2 linked regions of the Alligator mississippiensis genome follow. The protein of the gene in region 1 interacts with the protein of each later gene in a biochemical or structural test. Links are inferred from orthologs where the notes say so. Each region holds a gene or a part of one and is shown on either strand. Other genes may lie near its edges.

The links.
Region 2: the proteins of torsin-1A-interacting protein 2 (region 1) and torsin-1A form a complex in vitro, tested with the Homo sapiens proteins (4 studies listed by BioGRID and IntAct, with this or other methods). The link is inferred for Alligator mississippiensis from reciprocal best matches to the Homo sapiens genes TOR1AIP2 and TOR1A.

Annotation. Positions count from the first base shown.
Region 1 is NC_081828.1:51,637,924-51,646,822, forward strand, and holds the start of torsin-1A-interacting protein 2, read right to left. Parts: upstream 3,759-8,899; 5' UTR 1-3,758. Other genes in the region: TOR1AIP1 (torsin-1A-interacting protein 1), read left to right, coding at 3,830-4,604, 6,507-6,566, 7,681-7,728. UniProt on the Homo sapiens protein: Required for endoplasmic reticulum integrity. Regulates the distribution of TOR1A between the endoplasmic reticulum and the nuclear envelope as well as induces TOR1A, TOR1B and TOR3A ATPase activity.
Region 2 is NC_081835.1:58,705,946-58,715,066, forward strand, and holds the start of torsin-1A, read right to left. Parts: upstream 3,814-9,121; 5' UTR 3,792-3,813; coding exon 3,584-3,791; intron 3,302-3,583; coding exon 3,036-3,301; intron 1,069-3,035; coding exon 893-1,068; intron 803-892; coding exon 675-802; intron 251-674; coding exon 1-250. Other genes in the region: torsin-1A, read right to left, coding at 6,066-6,304. UniProt on the Homo sapiens protein: Protein with chaperone functions important for the control of protein folding, processing, stability and localization as well as for the reduction of misfolded protein aggregates.

The sequences.
Region 1 (8,899 bases):
ATGGTGCAGGAGTTGAGCATCAATGTGTTTGGTGCATGGGATCCAAGCAATGATAGCATCCTGAGTGCCTGCAGAATACCTAGCACTACTTCAAGATGATGAGGCACTTTGTGGTCACCACCATCAGATGGTCAACGGCTGGCTATCATTGGTAGAAAGAGAACCAACAGAGGACATCAGCCAGAAGCAAAAGTGGGGAGCAAGACTACAAGAGACACCACCACTATACTGTATAGACTCTAATGAAAACCAAACACATTTCTGTTTGTACTTCACCCTGGGCAAATGTAGACTGCATGTTAAATGCAATGCATCAGACTGTTCTGTCATCCTCCAGCAGTGTGTACCATTGTGCAGGGTCCCATATTTCTCATAGGTATACTGTACCACATAAAAGTTTCAGTTAACATTCTCTCTGCCATTGGGGGACTGGAAAGGGAAAAGAAGCGTTTCTCTCATTGAACTGGTGCAGATTGAAAGAGGTGGGAAATCACTGATCTCTCTGCACAGTGGGATCCTGATCTTAGCTAGAGTGTTTTGTTGCTACCATAATACAAATAATCATCTGCTGTTATTTGTTATGTTGGAAGCATGTTAGAAAGATATTTTTCTCAACTCAGTGTCCATTTAGAAAATACAGGTTCTAGCCCTTTTCCTGTTGGCCTTTTTGATCACTTCATTAAATCAGCTTTGCTTATTAAAAAAAAAAGTTTAGGAACTGGTTTGAAAATTAGCTTCTATAAATGAAAATAGCAATATTCAACATACTACCTGTCCCTATAATAGTGATGTTGACAGAATTAGCCATAAGAACAAGCTACTCACAAGACACAGGAACTAAAAGGCTGGCCTAAAATTCCCAACCTCCTCTTAGCAAAAGGATCAGAGATGTGATCTGATACTGTCTAGAAAACTGGAAGTATACTGCACAGGGTGAGCCATATTTAAGGAAATGTTTAAGTTCTTATAAGTTTCTTCTTCAAAGTTACTGAAACATGTCATCTAGTTCCTACTGTGTGAACATTCCCTTAATCCATGTTCACTAACAGAATATAAATGCTGCAGGATGCATGATGATGATAAAGCCAGAAGGAATCATTATGATGAGTGAGACTAACCCCTGCGCATAATGCAAGCCAAGGGATTTTATACTAGCAAGTCCTTCACTGCAGGGACTTATTCCTCTCTGCGCTCACTCCTGGCCTGGCTGGAAGGTGCACACTAGGGCTGTGTGAAATTTTGCTGCCCGTTTTGTTTCAACGCTGTTTCAAGCCATTTCGACCTCGAAACAGCAAAGTCAAAACAGAACAGGCAGGGCTGAAACAGGGTCGAAACAAAACAGGGCAGGTCAAAACGTTTGGAAAAATTCAAAACGTTTCGAGTTTGGACCAGGAAGCTGGGCTATGGGCTTACCTTCAATGGCTTGGCTTGCTTCCCTGCGGGGAAAGAGAAAGTAAAGTAAGGGGATGGAGGGGGAGAGGTGAGTGGGAAGGAGTGCTGTCATTATTGACATGTGTAACTGGCCAGTGCCTGTCACCCTTCTCTGAGGTCCTTTCCAACCCCATTGCTCTGGGGGAGGGACAGAAAAACTGCATAAAAGGCAGCATTTTTTGGACCTGCTCCTGCTTTCTGCCTTGGGTGACTTATTGAGCTGTCTATTCTAGCAGCTCACTGTCAGACCACTAGGGCTAGCAGCACTGATTTTCTAAAGGGTTCCCTGCTTGTTACTGTAGCGAGAGGGATTTCAGAATACCTTTTTCTTGTAGGTGCTTTTATTATTGTATTCATTGATTTATTCTTTTGAATTTTATACTTATATTGGATAGGGTTACTATAGAACCTATTCTATATAGGAATTTACTATATATATTTGTTTTTATACGGACATTCTTTGCACCATACCAACGCTATTGAATTTATATCCACAGACATATATATTTCTACCATGTTCATAAATCTCTTGCCTGCACCAGTAGTACAGATTTGAGTTTATATAGGAACACAAATACATTTATATATTTCTTGAAAAGGAAGTCCTGAAACACCTCATGAAGAGTGGTAGAAAGGCAAGTGGCAACACTGGCCAGCCTTCAGGGAGGGGTGGAAGAGGGAGAGCTGTAAGTCCCCCCTACCCCTCACCAAACTGAGACGCAGCCTCTTTCCTCCAGCTGAAAGGGATGAGGCCGCTAAAAGCAGCAAGGAGAGGGGAGTGGTGCCACTGCCACTGCCCCGCCCAAGACTGCATCCCCTCCACGCTCAGCAGCCATAACCGCACCCCACCATGACCACAACCAGCAGCACCAGCACCATCGCAGCAGTCTACTCCACCCCTATGTCACTTCCCATGCTGAGCCTTCCAGTGCCAGAAGAAGAGCTGGCGCTGGATCTGGATCTCAGTGCCCTAGCAAGGGAAATTCTGGGGAAGGAGGGGGAATCAGCTGAGTTTGTGCTTGGAATTCTGGCACACTGCAACCTGCTGGACATCTGACACCCTAGGTACCTCTGCACTTTTACATCCCCCTTTCCACCTCACCCTTTCCCTCACCCTCACGCCTCCATTTCCATTTTCACTGACTGCCTTTCTTGCCTGCATTGCGTGCCAGGCCAGCCTCTGGCTTCTTTACTATTCCTTCCATCCAGGACCAAGAGACACACCAACCGCAGGTACTTCCTCAGCCTGACAAAGGGTTTTTCAACCTGAAAGCTTCCTAAGAGATATTTCTCTATTCCTTTTTTTTTCATAAAGAACATACAAACATAAAAACACAGGATAAGCCATCACACACACCACGAGTAACATATATCCAACACAACATCTTTACTTCTTGCTGTCAATTCCTTTACAAGAAAGGCTCTGTGACAGTTGTTTGGCTACTTTAGATGCTGCTGGTGCTATTGCTGTTGAGCCAGCTACGTTTTCACCTGCCATCATTTACTGTGGTAGACTGGACTGAGGCTGTAGGGGAGGAGGACTCACTGGGGCACACTGCTGTGTCGTGCAGAGGCCCCAGTGCCAGGAAGGGCGCACCTGAACACACAGAGTCACCCACCCATGTCATGAGTTTTGCCTGTCACCAGCCAGAGGTGTAGGGCCCCAGAACCCAGAGTGCCGCTGCACCTCTCATTGAGACCTGGTAGGCTTCATTACTTCAGCAGGGGCTAGCAAGCCTGCAGTTTTGACCCCGCTGTGGCTTCACACATACAAGTGATAGGACTTTTGCTCTCAAGACTTTGGGGTGCAGTTTCTTTGAACCCCCCTACATCTATCTCCTTGAAGCTTGGCAGGCTTCATGCCCTCGTAAGGGGCTATCATTCCTGCAAGTTTCATCTAAATCAGGCCAGAAATGACAAAGTTATAGCCTGTTTTGACCTTCCCCATTATATCCTACGGGGGAAATGTCAAAACAGGTTCGAAATGTAGAAATGTTTCCACAGAACGATACGGAACAGCCGTTTCGACTCGAAACAAAACGCTGTTCCGTCGAACCGTTGGTCGAAACAGAATGCTTCCGTTTCGCGCAGACCTAACGCACGCTGCTCCTTTATCTTCGATCTGCTACCAAAGGTCACAAGAGCAATATTGTGCTACTTGTCTTCAGCAGAGCAGGGTGAGGGAAGAGTTAGGGCCAGATCCAAGTACTGTCTGTAAAACATCTCTGAATGGTAGGAGGAGGCTGTAAAGGAAATCCTTTTCCGACCTTCTTGAGCCCATGAAAAACTGTTACCGTCAGAGAGCGCTTGCTTCTTTTTGTGACTTTGTCCAATTTAGGCTTAAAACTTAGGCACGTTGCTGTTTTTTTCAGGAACTTGAGCTGGCTGGAATAAGATCATGCTTAGCCTCTCGGAAACCACGGGGCAACATGGCGGGGGCACAGGCGGCACAAGCTCGTCCTGCCGCCTCAGAGGCGAAAGCCCGTCCGGCCCCCGCCGCCCAACTGGTCCGGTAGGACCTGCCTCATGCCAAGGGTCCGCTCTGGGCTGCTCCACGTCGCGCCCGGGAGGCTGTTTTCACTGCGCCCGCTGGAGGGCGGCCTCGCCCGGGCCGGGCTCTCCCAGCTCTGCTCCTCGCTGCTCCGAGCCGGGGGCGGCGCCGCAGCCGCTGCCCGTCACAAGCGGCGCCGGTAAGCAGCGGCTGCAGACGCGGCGTCGGCCCGGACTGCGCGCACCCCGGCGGCCGCAGGGAGGGGAGAGGGAGACGAACCCGGACCGGATCAGGCCCGAAGCCATGTCACTCGCCCACGCTACGCCGCGGGCCCCGCTGAGGCCGTGCTGCGCCGCCGAGCCGAGGGCCCCACAAGATGGCGGCCCCGAGCCAGGCGCGGCCGAGCCGGGGGATGCTAGCACTTCCGGCCCCAAGCACAGCGGAGCGGAAGTGCGCGTTCTGGCCCCGCCCTCGGCGGGACGAACAGGGCGGGACTACGGCTCCTTGGAAACGGAAACGGAGGCGGCGGCGATGGCGGCTGGTGTGGGCTACGAGTTGCGCTCGCGGCAGCGGCCCCCGGCGGGGGAGACGCCGGCGGGACGTTGGGCGGGAGACGGGGCCTCGGGCAGGGCGAGGCCGTCGAACACCGCGCCCCGGCGCGGGATGCCTGACGCGCCGGCAGGTGAGCTGGAGGGCCCTGGGGCGGGGGCTGGTCCGGCCCCTCGCTGCGGCTACGCTCAGCCCCGTGCCCAGGGCAGGTGGCTGTGGCTGCCCTTCCCGCTTGCGCAGGGAGGCCCCTTCCCTTCCCTTCCGGTGCGGCGGCACCAGCCCCTCCGCTAGCAGGGAAATGCCCGAGGCGCCGCCCGCCCCGAGCCGCGGGAGCCATTGTGATGGCAGCACCTGCCCCGCTGCCGCCCCCACGGCTGCGGCTCTGCCCCCAGGAGGCGGCTCTTCGCGGAGGGCGGGTCGGCAGCTCGTGGCCCGCCGGCGGGGTGGTAGGGAAGGCTGCGAGAGAGGCCCCCCGCCTGGTGCCCGATGCCACAAGGAGCTTCCTGTGGGGTCGCTGCTAAAAATCTCTAGGGAGGTTTCATGGACTGGAGTCTCCTGAACTAGGGTAGCTTCCCCCCCCCCCCCCGGGGGTGTTCCCAACTGTGTTAGGTGCTAGTCCACCCAGCAAGGTGGTAGAGCGGGTACTGCATCACTAGAGGTGCAAATTGGGGCTTGGCTGAGCTGCAAATGGTTTCCCAGCCATTGTGGGTGGGTGGTCGGCAGTGGGCAGGTATGAAGGGAATCATCCACTTGCTCTCTTTTCTTGTCAGCCACCGAGCTGGTGTGCCACAACTGATCTGTCCCCCGCCCCTTCCCTCCCTACTCCCCCTTCTACCACAACAGACTTACCAGCTGCACACAGCTCTTCTCCTTGCCTACATTTATCTGCCACAGTATCAGGCACATCAGGCCGGTTTCTGATACAGTCGATTTTCTTTATATCGGTGCTGATCCGATATTGGACTGACGTATCATGCACCTCTAGCCAAGAGCGTTCTGCTACTTACTACCTTCTGCAAAGAAATTGCCTTCCTCCAAGCTTCTATGTAGCAAGACCTCTGGTTTCACAGTTCCCTGAAGTTTAGTTATTCCGTGATGGTTAGGATAGTTTCATCTGTGCTTAGTAGAGTGGAGTTACCCTGGGGTTTGTCTTTTTATTATTATTATTCTTGCCCTCTTTTACAAGACTGGGGGTTTTGCAAGGGGTTTGGGTGTGAGGAAATTAATTTCTTAATCCACTAATGATGTAAAGGGAAATTGACAATCCACAGATTATGATCACTGATGCTTTAGGGTTGAGTTGGGGGGCAAATTTGGTGTATGATTAAACATGGCGCATTCACAGAAATCACTCTCACATGGTGAACGAAAGGATAGGATTTGGAGTTTTTCTTGGATCGTATTGCTCATTCAGGATTGAATCCTACCTGTTTGCTTTTTTTTACTTTAGGCAAAGGCTTATTTTGACTTCTACATCCAAAATACAGACCTCTAGCACTTGAATTAATGGGCATCCTCTTCGTGGAATATCCATTACAGAGGGATGAGGGATGCTTTGCCAATGGCATTCAAACTTACTTCCCAGAAAGCTGGGAAACTTTGGGTCCTGGGGATCCTGGGATCATTTTCAGGGTCTAGATTCGATTGTGTCATAGTAGTTATAGATGCCTGTGCTCCTGTCCACCATACTTGTTTGCCTTTTTTTATACACAGCCTATTCTATTCCCACTCCCCTTCCTCTTGGCTTCTGCTGGTACCTTGCTCCTTTGCCCTAGATATACCATTCACTTTGTCCTCCCCGTCCCACAAATCTCAAGCATATGAACAAACTGCTTGAGGGTCTGGTGTGCCTGCAGTGGGGGAGGGAGTAGTTTAATAGTATTCTTGAAGGAATGGAATGGAATGGAATGGAATGGAATGGAATGGAATGGAATGGAATGGAATGGAATGGAATGGAGGGCTGAAGTGGTTGGGAGAAAGAAATGATGGCATGGTGCTTGAGCTTGTTATGCATTTAACACATTCTTTGTTTTAGGGAGTGAATATCCCTTTGTCAAATTGACTCGACCCAGCATAAGAAGTTTTCAAAGGGAAGGTAAGTAGTGATTTCTACACCCAGTGGAGGAGCTTTTCACTCCTTGCAGTCTAATACTATTGAAACAGATTTCTAGGGAGTATAGATCAGTGGTGAAAGCAGGGAGTAGGAACTGGGGGATGGCCTTGGTTCCCTTTCCAGTTTTACCATTGATTTGTTGTATAATGTTGGGCACTTAATCTTGCACCTCATATGTTTACCTTTCAAAAGGGGAACAGTGCTCTGGTATCTTGTAAGAATTTTTGAAGATTGATTGATTCTCCCAGCAAGGATGCTGTTGGGGGTGTCATCATGCAGTGTTAGCACTGTTAAGTGTGCAAAGAATGTTTTCAAGATAAACTCATAGATTTCAATAGGAATACATGGATTTACAAACCTTCTGACCTGTTGCAAGCTGAGTTGTTTTTTTTTGTGTGAAAACTAAGAGATGGCATTTTCAGAGGGGTGTCATGAGTCTTAAAAGGGGTGTCTTAAGTTTGATGAGGGGTGCTACTAGTATGTAGCACTCTGAAATTAACAAATAAAGGGGTCTGTAGAAGTGTATGTGTTCTATCAAGTGCATGAGATTGTAGCAGTACTTGGCTGAAGGTATGAAAGAAGGGTTGTGAGTGAATCTGCTTGTGTTTCTTGGTTTTGGAGAAAAGGTACGGTGACTAAATATGATGACAATATCTATCTAAACAAACTAGGAAAAATGAAGTAAGAAACCCACTTACCTGGCATGAACTGAATCACATGTGGAGCTTGTGAAAAGACCACTTCCACTCTATTCGTTGTATACAGTTACTTTTTGTGTGATAGGACTGCCTTCTCTGCATCTAGAAGCATAGACTTGTACTAGCTGCATGATACTGAATGTGATGTGTTTGTGTTTTTACTTCATTTGCCACATCCCTTGTTTCTTTCTAAAAAGACATATTGCAAAACTACCCTTTGGAGAGTTAGACAGGAAGCTATGTCTGTAATGTATAAGTGGTTGTGGAGTCATAGCTTTTGTCCTGAGAAATGTATTGGTCGCTGCAGTAGAGAGAACTACACATGTGAATGTAACCACTTAATTTCCTTCCTTTTTTTTACGGCTGTGTTAATCATGTTAGTGTTCCTTGCCTTACAGAATATGCTCTCTTCAGTGAAAACAGAGATTCCAAAACGTGTGAATCAGGTTGGTTTAAGTTTAACGCATTCTAGTTTGCTTACTACTGAATCTCGTTTGTTACTGCGGTAGTGTCAGGCCTTGAGAACAAAATGTTGTTGCTGGCTGGACTTTGGCTGTTGTGTGAAGAATGCCAAGAGGTTGGCTGTTCCAAGTGGATACTGTTGATGATGTTAGTGGAATTACTTTTTGTATTGTTTCTTACAAAATACAGAAAGAAATGAGCCTCTCTGCAAGCTTGGGGGGAGGGGGCGTGGCTCTTATGAGAGGATGCCTATTTCCAGAGCTTAGTTTAAGATTCTCCTGTGAGCAGAATCGAAACTCAAAAAAAACCACCCAGTTTCTCAAGCTGAGCTTAGTTTCTGCTTAACCGCAAACATTGCACAGGCTGCAAGAAGATTCTAGAAATCTGATTAAAGCTGAGAGTGCTGGCAAAATCTTAAGAATGCATATATCAAGGTGTTGATATATTTGATATACTTGATATGTTTAGGTGTTGATATACACCTAAATTAAGGTTATGGCTATATTTAAACTAGTATTCAAAATGTGTGAGCAAGAAAATGTTAAGAATCAAACATCAATGCTCTTTTTTTTAAGTTTCTGTTTTTAGTGGACAATGATTTTGAACTGAAGGCATGGGTTTGATACCACGTTGGTTGCCATTTGGCTTCATGCCTCAGGGTTACAGAATATCACACTTAATTGCATTTGCTATTGTATGCTGTGCTTTGTGCTCTCACTCACATTTCTTCATGGAGTTTGATGCTGTAAGAGAATTGATTTGCATGTTACTTTTAAAGTGTATTTTCTTGGTCAAAGAACAATTTTGCTCTACAGTAGAATTGTTCTATAAATATCTGACTAGTTTCTAGTCAGAGTATTAACCTTTTTTTGTTCAGTGTCGGCATGGCGATGATCTTATTCCACACATCACTGGCATATTCTGAATAGCTCCCTTTCTCCCCTGGTGCCATATTCTGTCACTGATTTGGGATGGATGTCACTTCTATCTGTTTCTAACACAGGTAGGAGTGGTTCTATACAGTAGGTTCTGGAGTCTGGGGTAGATGAGGTATTGTTAGGAATAGCCAAGCATATAGAAACAGCTTGGGCTGGAATTTGCTTCCTTTTTTAACAAAGTAATATCCTATTCCTGGAAAAGCAAAATGTTGCCCCT
Region 2 (9,121 bases), on another chromosome or scaffold:
TACAAATCATAGTAATAATCCAACTTTGTGTATACAGTTTTGCATCCTTTGTGACAATAAATTTTTTCCTCCTTGGGGAAGTAAGTCATTTCATCAGCTACTTCGCTTACAATGTTTTCATCCACAACGTAGCCACGTGATTCAAGTTCCACCCTGACACACATTTTCACATGTTTATACTCCAGAGGTAGGAAAGGGACGAAGAAGTCAATGAGATTTCTGTCTATCAGGCTGCTGTGCCAAAAGCCACCTGCAAAGAAAATAGAAGAAAGAAGGTATTTTTTTAGGCAGTGACTTATAAAAAGCATTCGCTTAAGTTGCTGAGGCATCCAACTCATTTGTAAAGAGGAGGCAGGCTGGGGCATGACATTTCACTAAACAGAGCTGCTCATCATGTGAAGGCGCACAGCAACCTCTCTCAAAGACAGCAGCTCAGCGCTATGGGCAGCACGCGCATTGGAGAGCTTTCTGCTAAAAGGATTCAAGTACGTGAAACAGTGAAGTTTCACGGGAATCCTATAAATCCCACTGGAGACCGCTCCAACAGAAGCGTTTGATTCTTAAGTATATTCCAGAGAGGAAACACAGAAAATCAGTGTGATACTAGACAGGGATGCAGAACCACCAATCCAAACACAAGGATTTACAAACCCATAGTTAACAATATTACTCACTATTCTTATTATTGAAAACAGACAGAGAGACCACATCATTCAGTTCTTTGAGACTTATGTCTTCCCTTTTCTTTCCATTTCTCCAGTAATCCAGTGCCACTTCTGTTATCTTTTCTGCCCCTGCATTGCTATGTTAAGGAGAAAAAGTTTATGAGCTGGATGCTATTTCATAGGGCCCTCAGTCTTAGCACTGTAAGCAATTCAAGGCCATTCCTTACCTGAGAAAGATGAAGATGGCTTGCCGATAAGACACCCCATCAAGTTGCTCGTAATAATCTAAGAATGGTTTAATGGAGTCTATGAGTCCTGCGTGCATTTTATCCATTTCATCAAATATAAAAATTGACCTGGCGCAGTCACTCACATTCCCCCGAATCCAGGACTGCAGGTCATCCTATGGTACACAAAGATACAAGGATGTAAGCTCCATGTGCACAAGATCATACTGAACACACAGAGCACGCGATGACTTTAGATCCCTGTCTTTTGTATAAAAGATCTAACATAAAATTGTCATCCAACATAGCTTGGACTTCTTCACTGAAATCTGCATCAGAGCAATAAATAATGATGAAATAATACCGCAAGAGATTTACCTAAGGGTTCTTCAAATAACCTTAAGAACTCAAAAAATGAGATGCCAGAAATAATCTGCTCTTAGGAAAAGACTTTGTGCAAGCATCAGCAGAGGACAGAACTGTACTTTAGCCAAAACAATGACAATGAATAAGAAACAGAGATCTAACAGGACCAAGTGATGCCGTATATGGCATGCTACTTTCTTTGGATGATGCTTTGCATTTACATAGCACACTTCATCCTTTGACCTCAAAGTACCATACATCCACTTACTAGCTCAAATGCAGTCAACAAGAAGCTCTGTTCCTAGCTGTGCCGGTGACTGACTGTACAGCCTTAGATGGGAACAAAATCTAGAATTCATGATGTCTGGTTTTATCCTTTAACCACTAGCACATAATCTAATTGGAGGGAATTTAAAACATTTGAAAATGTGTGATTTTGTTCAGAAAAGTGGATAACCTTACTCAAGTGTTTTCTTACATCATATAAGAACACTTATGTTGTCTCACCACCTTCCACCCAGTCAAACACCTGCAGGTGGCTGCTCATTGCACCAGGTGGGCGGAGCGCATGAAAGGTAGCTGGAAGCTGGAGCCCCAAGCACTAGGGCAGAGCCACCTGGCTGCAGCTTCCCCCACCAACCCCCTGCCTGGCTGGGCACATGGTGCCAGGCTCACGTCCTCACAGCTGTCATCACTGCCCTGCACTACCTGCTGCCCAGAGTGGCACAGCCAGGGAAGCAGGAGGACGACGTGCTGAGCAGTACCCAGGCAGCTGCAGCAGCAGCAGTCCCTCCAGGAAGCTGTGCATGCTGGACAGGGCTGGGACTGTCAGCAGGTGCAGGCAGGACTCAGATCCCAAGCAGAGCAATGCAGAGACAGCCACAGGCCATATACAGTCAATTGGTAGGGGCCCACCTCTGGGCTAGATCCAAACAGCTGATGGGCCAAATCTGGCTCACAGATCCATATTTTGGCTCACAGGCCATATTTTGCCCACCCCGTGTCTATGTGTTCAGGACATAATATAAATATTCGCCAACTACTGAACAGGTGGAAAAGCATCAACCACAATTCACAGGAAGAAAGGAGGGTGAATTGTCCAAAACAGTCAGTGGCAAAGTCAGAACAAGAACTCAGAGAAATGCCATTTCTTGCGCACAGTCTCCGTCTCAGGTAGTTTTATGACCCTATTACTAGTTCATCTGAGCATTTCATGATCTTTGTATAACTGGGCCTCAACACTCCTTGTGAGGTACTACCACTACTTTACAGTTGGGAATTAAACCCGTCTCCCAACTTCCTGGCTTTGGTCACCACAGCTGTTTCAATCTATCTTAAGGTTTTCTATAGCACCCATCAGCATTATATCCAAGTGTGATACCCAATTGTATCCAGAATCCCTGTTATCATCAAGTCAACCAGACTGTTGGACCAAAATATACAACAAGGAAAATGAAAGGTCTCATACTCTCCCCCTCAAGAGGGATGTAAAAAGGTGCATAAACACCGTCTTCTACACCAGCGGTTCCCAAACTCTGAGAGATCGCACACCACCGATTTAAAACAATACAACCTTAAGTACCACCAGCAAATTTGTCGTATAAAGTAACTATAACAAAGCTGTTAGCACGTACCACTGACAGGTGGTCTGTGTGCCACTGGTGATACACGTACCACGGATTGGGAATTGCTGGTTCGACACGCTTCAGAAAGCGACAGAAGGGCTGTCCCTCACAATCGACCCTCAAGCGTGACCAGCTCCACAACGTGCCCTTACCGTATATTGCCTGATAAGACTCGCGTGTGGAAAATGCAGAGTGGACACAAACTGATGGACGTATTTGCTGTTCAAGCCCGACTTGTAAATGTTCTCGACAATGATTTTACTGGCGTAGTTCTTGCCTGTGCCCGTCCAGCCATGCAACGAGAGGGCGAGAGGCTTTTTGGGGTTCGCATTGCTCAGGAAGCCGGCGATGGCTTTGACAATCACCTTCTGCGCGAGGTGCTGGCCGAACAGCCTCTTCTCCAAATCCTGCTGCAGGGCTGCGGCGAACGCGCCAGCCGCGGCACGCAAAAAAGGGAGACGGCAGGTTTAAAGTCAGAACTTGGGAAGCGAGAGAGGACACCCGCTTCTTCACCCCTTCGAGGCGAGGGCTGGGCTGGGCCGGAAGAGAAGCGACTGCCCTCCCTAATGCAGGCCCCAGCTCCCCTCAGGGGCGCCCCAACCCCTCTCACAGGGCAGCCCCCCCAGAACAGGACACCTTCCCACCACAGCCCAGCCCGTCACGGGGCAGCCCCCTCCCTTCACAGGGCAGGGCCCCTCACCTGGCCCGAAGTGCCGGCCCAGGCGCGGCCCGCAGCACTCGGCGAAGAGGCAGTAGAGGGGCCGGTAGGAGATGTAGCCCGTGATCGCCGAGGCGGCCCCGGCCAGCGCTAGCCCCAGGCTGACGGGCTCCACGGCGCGCGCGGGGCTCAGCAGCAGCAGCAGCACCAGGCCCAGGGCGGCGCCCGCCGCGCCCCGCAGCCGCCTCATCCCCGGGCTCGCCGGGCCCCGGCCCCGAGCCCCTCACCGGCGCTTCCGCTTCCGCCGCTTCCGGCGCCGCCATTTTGGTTTGGGGCAGGGCGCGCGCGCGGCCATTTTGGAACGGGCGGGGCGGTCACGTGACCCCCGCACCCTCCTGCACGTGCAGTCGTTGTGCCTGCACACACACCACCCCTGCACAGGGAGCCAGGCACGACCCAACCCGTGTTATCTCAAGGCAGCGCACCAGAAATAAGGCCAGTAGTTGGGAATACCCCCCCCACCCCCCGCAATAAGTCCAAGCAAACAAAATGCAGGGTGCAGAGGTGACTCCCCGCAGCCACAGAGAAGCGGCAGCCAGCACAGCCGCGTTGTGGCCGGTCCCGTCGTTCGTTCGAGCCGGCTCCGAGAACAACCGGATCGAAGCTCGCGAGTTACCCGCCTCCAACGAGAACACACTGGAAAAGCACAAGTCTCGCTGCTCCGTTTTCTTCCTCCAAAATACACTTCTTCTGCAAAACTAATTTGGGTCCAATTTAAAAATCCGTGCAGTCTTAGGCTCTCAACAGTTATTTTCAGCGATGAGAAAAAAGCGGGGTCCATCTCCAGCACCAACCCCCTGAGTATCCCTGAAACCAGAGATTCGTATCCAGGCACAATTATGTTTCGAGCAGAAAGCAGCAAAAGTAAGCTGTCCTTATTAGGCAGGAAACTTGCCTAGAATGAAGCATTAAGTCAGTCCACGATGCATATCCACACATACTGGAAAGGTAGCCGATAAGCATTTTTTGATTAAAAACTTTTATTGACAAAATACAAATCTTATTTAGAAATCAGAGTAAAAAATGTCAGTAGTGTTTCGACGTATAAATATGACTGGCACATATAATAACTTTAGCTGAATCCTTACAGTACATAATTCTTTTTCAAGGTAGTGTTTTATCTTCATCTGTTCCTTAATAGCTCTGCCTCATGTTTGGGGGGAAAAGCAAGGATAGATCACAAACATACTAAACAGGATCGATTTATAAAAGTTGGTGAGTAAAGCAAACTGTCCCTTATGCCAACCACACAATAAAGAAGACTTAAGATGTGCGGTCAGTTCCCAGTGCCTGTGACTGAAACCAACTATCTGAACAAGAAGCCTCAATGGATTTTACCCAACAACCTTTTACATTGATCCCACAAGGCAGGAGAAACACCAGCATGAGAACAAACTGCGTATCCAACTTCACATATCAAAAAGCTAAAAGTACAGGCTACCTCCTCCATTGCAGGGACACTGTCACGGATTTTGCTTTAGGGTATGGTTTTTTTCTCAGCATTGTTGAAAAATACTCCCCTAGCAAGCTGGATGCCTCACACTGCTAACGCTGTTTGGCACCAAAGGATTTGCTCATAATGGCACTGCATAAAACCAGGTGATAAGGACCGGACGTCTTATACCAGGTTCTCTCACCTATTGGTTCCAACAGAGCTGAATGCACCAAAAATGTTTGTAGTCTAAGGAAACTGCCCCCCCCCTCCCCCCCCAATGTATTCACCATTCAAAGCAGGTCTGATGATATTCCCAACTACAACACCGAGGAAGGGTCCTGAAGACATAAGAGTTCTGTTTAAAAAGTGCCATACAATACCGAGATCATTTCCACATCAAATAACAACGTGGTGAAAACTGGCATAGCACGTGTACCAGGGTTCTACTGCACAACTAACAATCAACACCCGGTCTGAGAATAATCACGTTAAACAATGATCCATAAGGGGCAACTTCTCCATAGACACGTCTTTCCTAACTGAACAGCACAGGCCTGAAGTCTAAGGCTCTGCAGTCACTCAGTGGCACAGAGCCAGGAACAGAGCTTATTGTTGACTACATTTGAGCTAATAAATGAATGTATGGCAAACTGAAGACAAAGGAAGAAGTGTGCTCCCTAAATGCAAGGTGTTACCCAAAGGAAGTAATGTATAGTATAAGGCATTACATGGTCGTAATAGAGCTCTGTTTCTTATTAATTCTTATTTAAAGTACAATTCTTCCCTCTTTGTGGATTCTTGCACAAAGTCTTTTTAGGAGCTGTAGCTACTGAAAGTTTCCCCTGGATAAAAATGAAAGTGATTGCCACTTATTTAAATCAGACAGACAATTAAAAATGGTATTGCTCTCTTTTCTAAAAAAAAAAAAGAAAAAGTGCTTGAAAAATAATAAAAAGTTTTGGTTTTCCCCGAGCTTCTTAAGTTCATTTGCTGCTTTGCAGATTGCAGCATCATAAAACATTACTATTCCTAATCAAAATCAGCGTTGGGTATAGTTTTGCATCCTTTTCGAGAATACAATTTTTCCTCCTCGGGGAAGTAGGTCATTTCATCAGCTACTCTGCTTACAATGTCTTCATCCACAGGGTAACCACGTGTTTCCATTTCCACCCTGACACACATTTTCACATGTTCATACTCCAGAGGTAGGAAGGGGACAAAGAAATCAATGAGGTTTCTGTCTATCAGGCTGCTGTGCCAAAAGCCACCTGCAAAAAAAATAGAAGAAAGCACAAGCTTAGATACCTGAGGCATCTACCTCATTTGTAAAGAGGAAGAAAGCTGGGACATAACATTTCACTAAGCAGAGCTAGTCATCATGTTGTGAAGGTGCAGAGCAAATGTTACTGAGGGTGCAGGAACAAACCATCCCAATGCGCAGGAAGACTAGCAAGAATGGCAGAACAGCTTGGCTTAGCAGGGAATTCCAGTGAGCTAAAACACAAAAAGAAAGCTTACAAAAAGTGGAAACTTGGACAAATAACTATGGAGGAGCATAAAAGCATTGCTCAGGCATGCAGGGATGAAATCAGGAAGGCCAAAGCACAACTGGAGTTGCATCTAGCAAGGGACGTGAAGGATAAAAAGAAGGGGTTTGACAAGTATGTCAGCAACAAGAGGAAGATCAGGGAAAGTATGGGTTCATTACTAAATGGGGGAGGCAACTTAATGACAGAGGGTGTAGAAATGGCTGGAGCGCTCAATCCTTTTTCACCTTAGTCTTCACAGGCAGGTTCAGCTCCCAGACTACTGTACCTGGCAGCACAGTTTGAGGAGAAGATGAGCAGCCAACAATGGCAAAAGAACAGGTTAGGGACTATTTAGAAAAGCTGGATGTGTACAAGTCCATGGGGCTACACAGGGCACACCCAATGGTCCTGAGGAAGGGTGATTGCAGGGTCACTGGCCATTATCTTTGAAAACTCCTGTTGATTGGGGAAGGTCCCAGACAATTGGAAAAGAGCAAATATAGTGCCCATCTTTAAGAAAAGGAAGAAGGAAGATCCAGGGAAGTAGAGACCCATCTGTCTCACCTCAATCCCTAGAAAAATCATGGAGCAGATCTGCAAGTAATCCATTTCTAAGCACTTGGAAGAGAAGGTGATTAGGAACAGTCAGCATGGATTTACGAAGGGCAAGTCATGCCTGACCAACCTGATTGCCGTCTATAATGAGATGACTAGCTCTATGGATGCAGGGAGAGCAGTGGGCACGATATACCTTGACTTTAGCAAGGCATTTGATACGGTCTCCCACAATATTCTCTCAAGCAAATTAAGAAAGCACAGGTTGGATGAATGGACTGTAAGGCAGATAGAAAATTGGCTGGATTATTGAGCTCAGAGGGTAGCAATCAATAGCTCAAAGTTTAGTTGACAGCCGACATCAAGTGGAGTGCCCCAGGGGTCGGTCCTGGGGCCAGTTTTGTTCAATATCTGCATCAGTGACCTGGAAGATGGGATGGAGTGCACCCTCAGCAAGTTCATGGATGACACCAAGCTGGGGGGAGTAGTAGATACACTGGAAGGTAGGGCTAAGATTCAGAGACACCTCAACAAATTGGAGGTTTGGACCAAACGAAATCTCTTGAGATTCAATAAGGACAAGGATTGTTCCTGCACCCATAATGGAACAATCCCATGCACCAGTATGGGCTGGGACTGATTGGCTAAGCAGCAGCTCTGCAGAAAAGGACCTGGGGGTTACAGTGGATGTGGCAGAGCACCAGTGGGGTGCTCGCCACTTTAGGGCTGTCACAGGCTCTGGGGGAGCCTGTTTTGGGGAGCAGCAGGGAAAAGCCTTCCCTGTTAAACATTGTAAGGGCTCTGCCACCTTAAGACCTGGATCAGACAGCAGGCAGGTGCAGCCCAGCCCTGATGAGCAGCCTTTTAAGTACCACGCCAGCAGGGCTGGGGGCAGTACTCTGCTGTCAGATATGGAGGAAGTGATGTCTCCTGGAAGAGCTGCTGCTCTGAGAACAGCTTGGAGGTAAGGGTGAGGCTATGGGGAAGAAGGAGGCCTTAGTGGTCCTGGGCATGACCTAAAACCGCACCCTCCTGAGCTAGGGAGGCTTGGTGGTCCTGCCTGTGGCAGGGCAGGGCCAGCAAATTCCAGGATCAAGGACCTCCCTGGTGTATGGTGGGTTGGGGCACCTAAAGCCCTGCCCCTCCACCACTCGGTGGATCACAGTGATAACATCAGAGAGTAGTGGGGCCAGGGACATCCATAGGGGACACCTGTGCTCATTGGGATGCAAGATCCTGAAGGGGAGTAGTGGAGGCCAGGTTTGCTTTGAGAAGCACCTGAGCCTGAAGGGATGGAAGACCCTGTAAGAAGAGCAGTTCAGTCCCTGAGAGAGGGGGCAAGCTGTGGGCCAGGCACATCGATGAGTGGCACCTGAGTCCACGGGGGGTGTTCGACCCCAGGGCACAGGGCAGAGTAGATGCCTCAGTGGAGGTGCTGTTGCAGAAGGGCACCTGAAGGGCTGCACGGGGGTGGCAGCTGTGAAGCCCTGTGAGTGAGGGGCATGAGTTGGGGCCTGTGAGCGGGGGCTTGAGCGGAGGCCCTGCTAGCATGGGGGGGCCTGAGTTAGGTCCAGGTAAGCCTTTGGGGGCCAGAGGCCAGTTGGAGGGTGGCAGAGGAGCTGCGAGGAAAATGGGCAAGCCACCAGCCCCTTGGCGGAGAGGCCCTTGATGGGGGAGTTACCCAGAAATGTGATGGGGCAGAGCTGGCACAGCACGTGGTAAACTGCCCGGCGCTTGCTCACATGAGGATAGTGGGAGATGCCCGAAAGGCTGTGCGCTTGCTGGTCAGGGAGTGAAGAGTAGCAAGTCTGAGGACCCTCTGGGTGAGGACAGAGTGGCTGTGATCCCTGCGAGAGAAGGGGTGGTACAAGTGAGGCCCAGGAAGAGCAGAATGAAAGATGCCGGGTGAGAGCCAGTGGAGAGTGAAAGGCCTCTGAGAGGGAGGTGGTATAAGTGTGGCCCTAGCAGGGCAGAGTGACTGAGAATCAATGCTGTGACGAG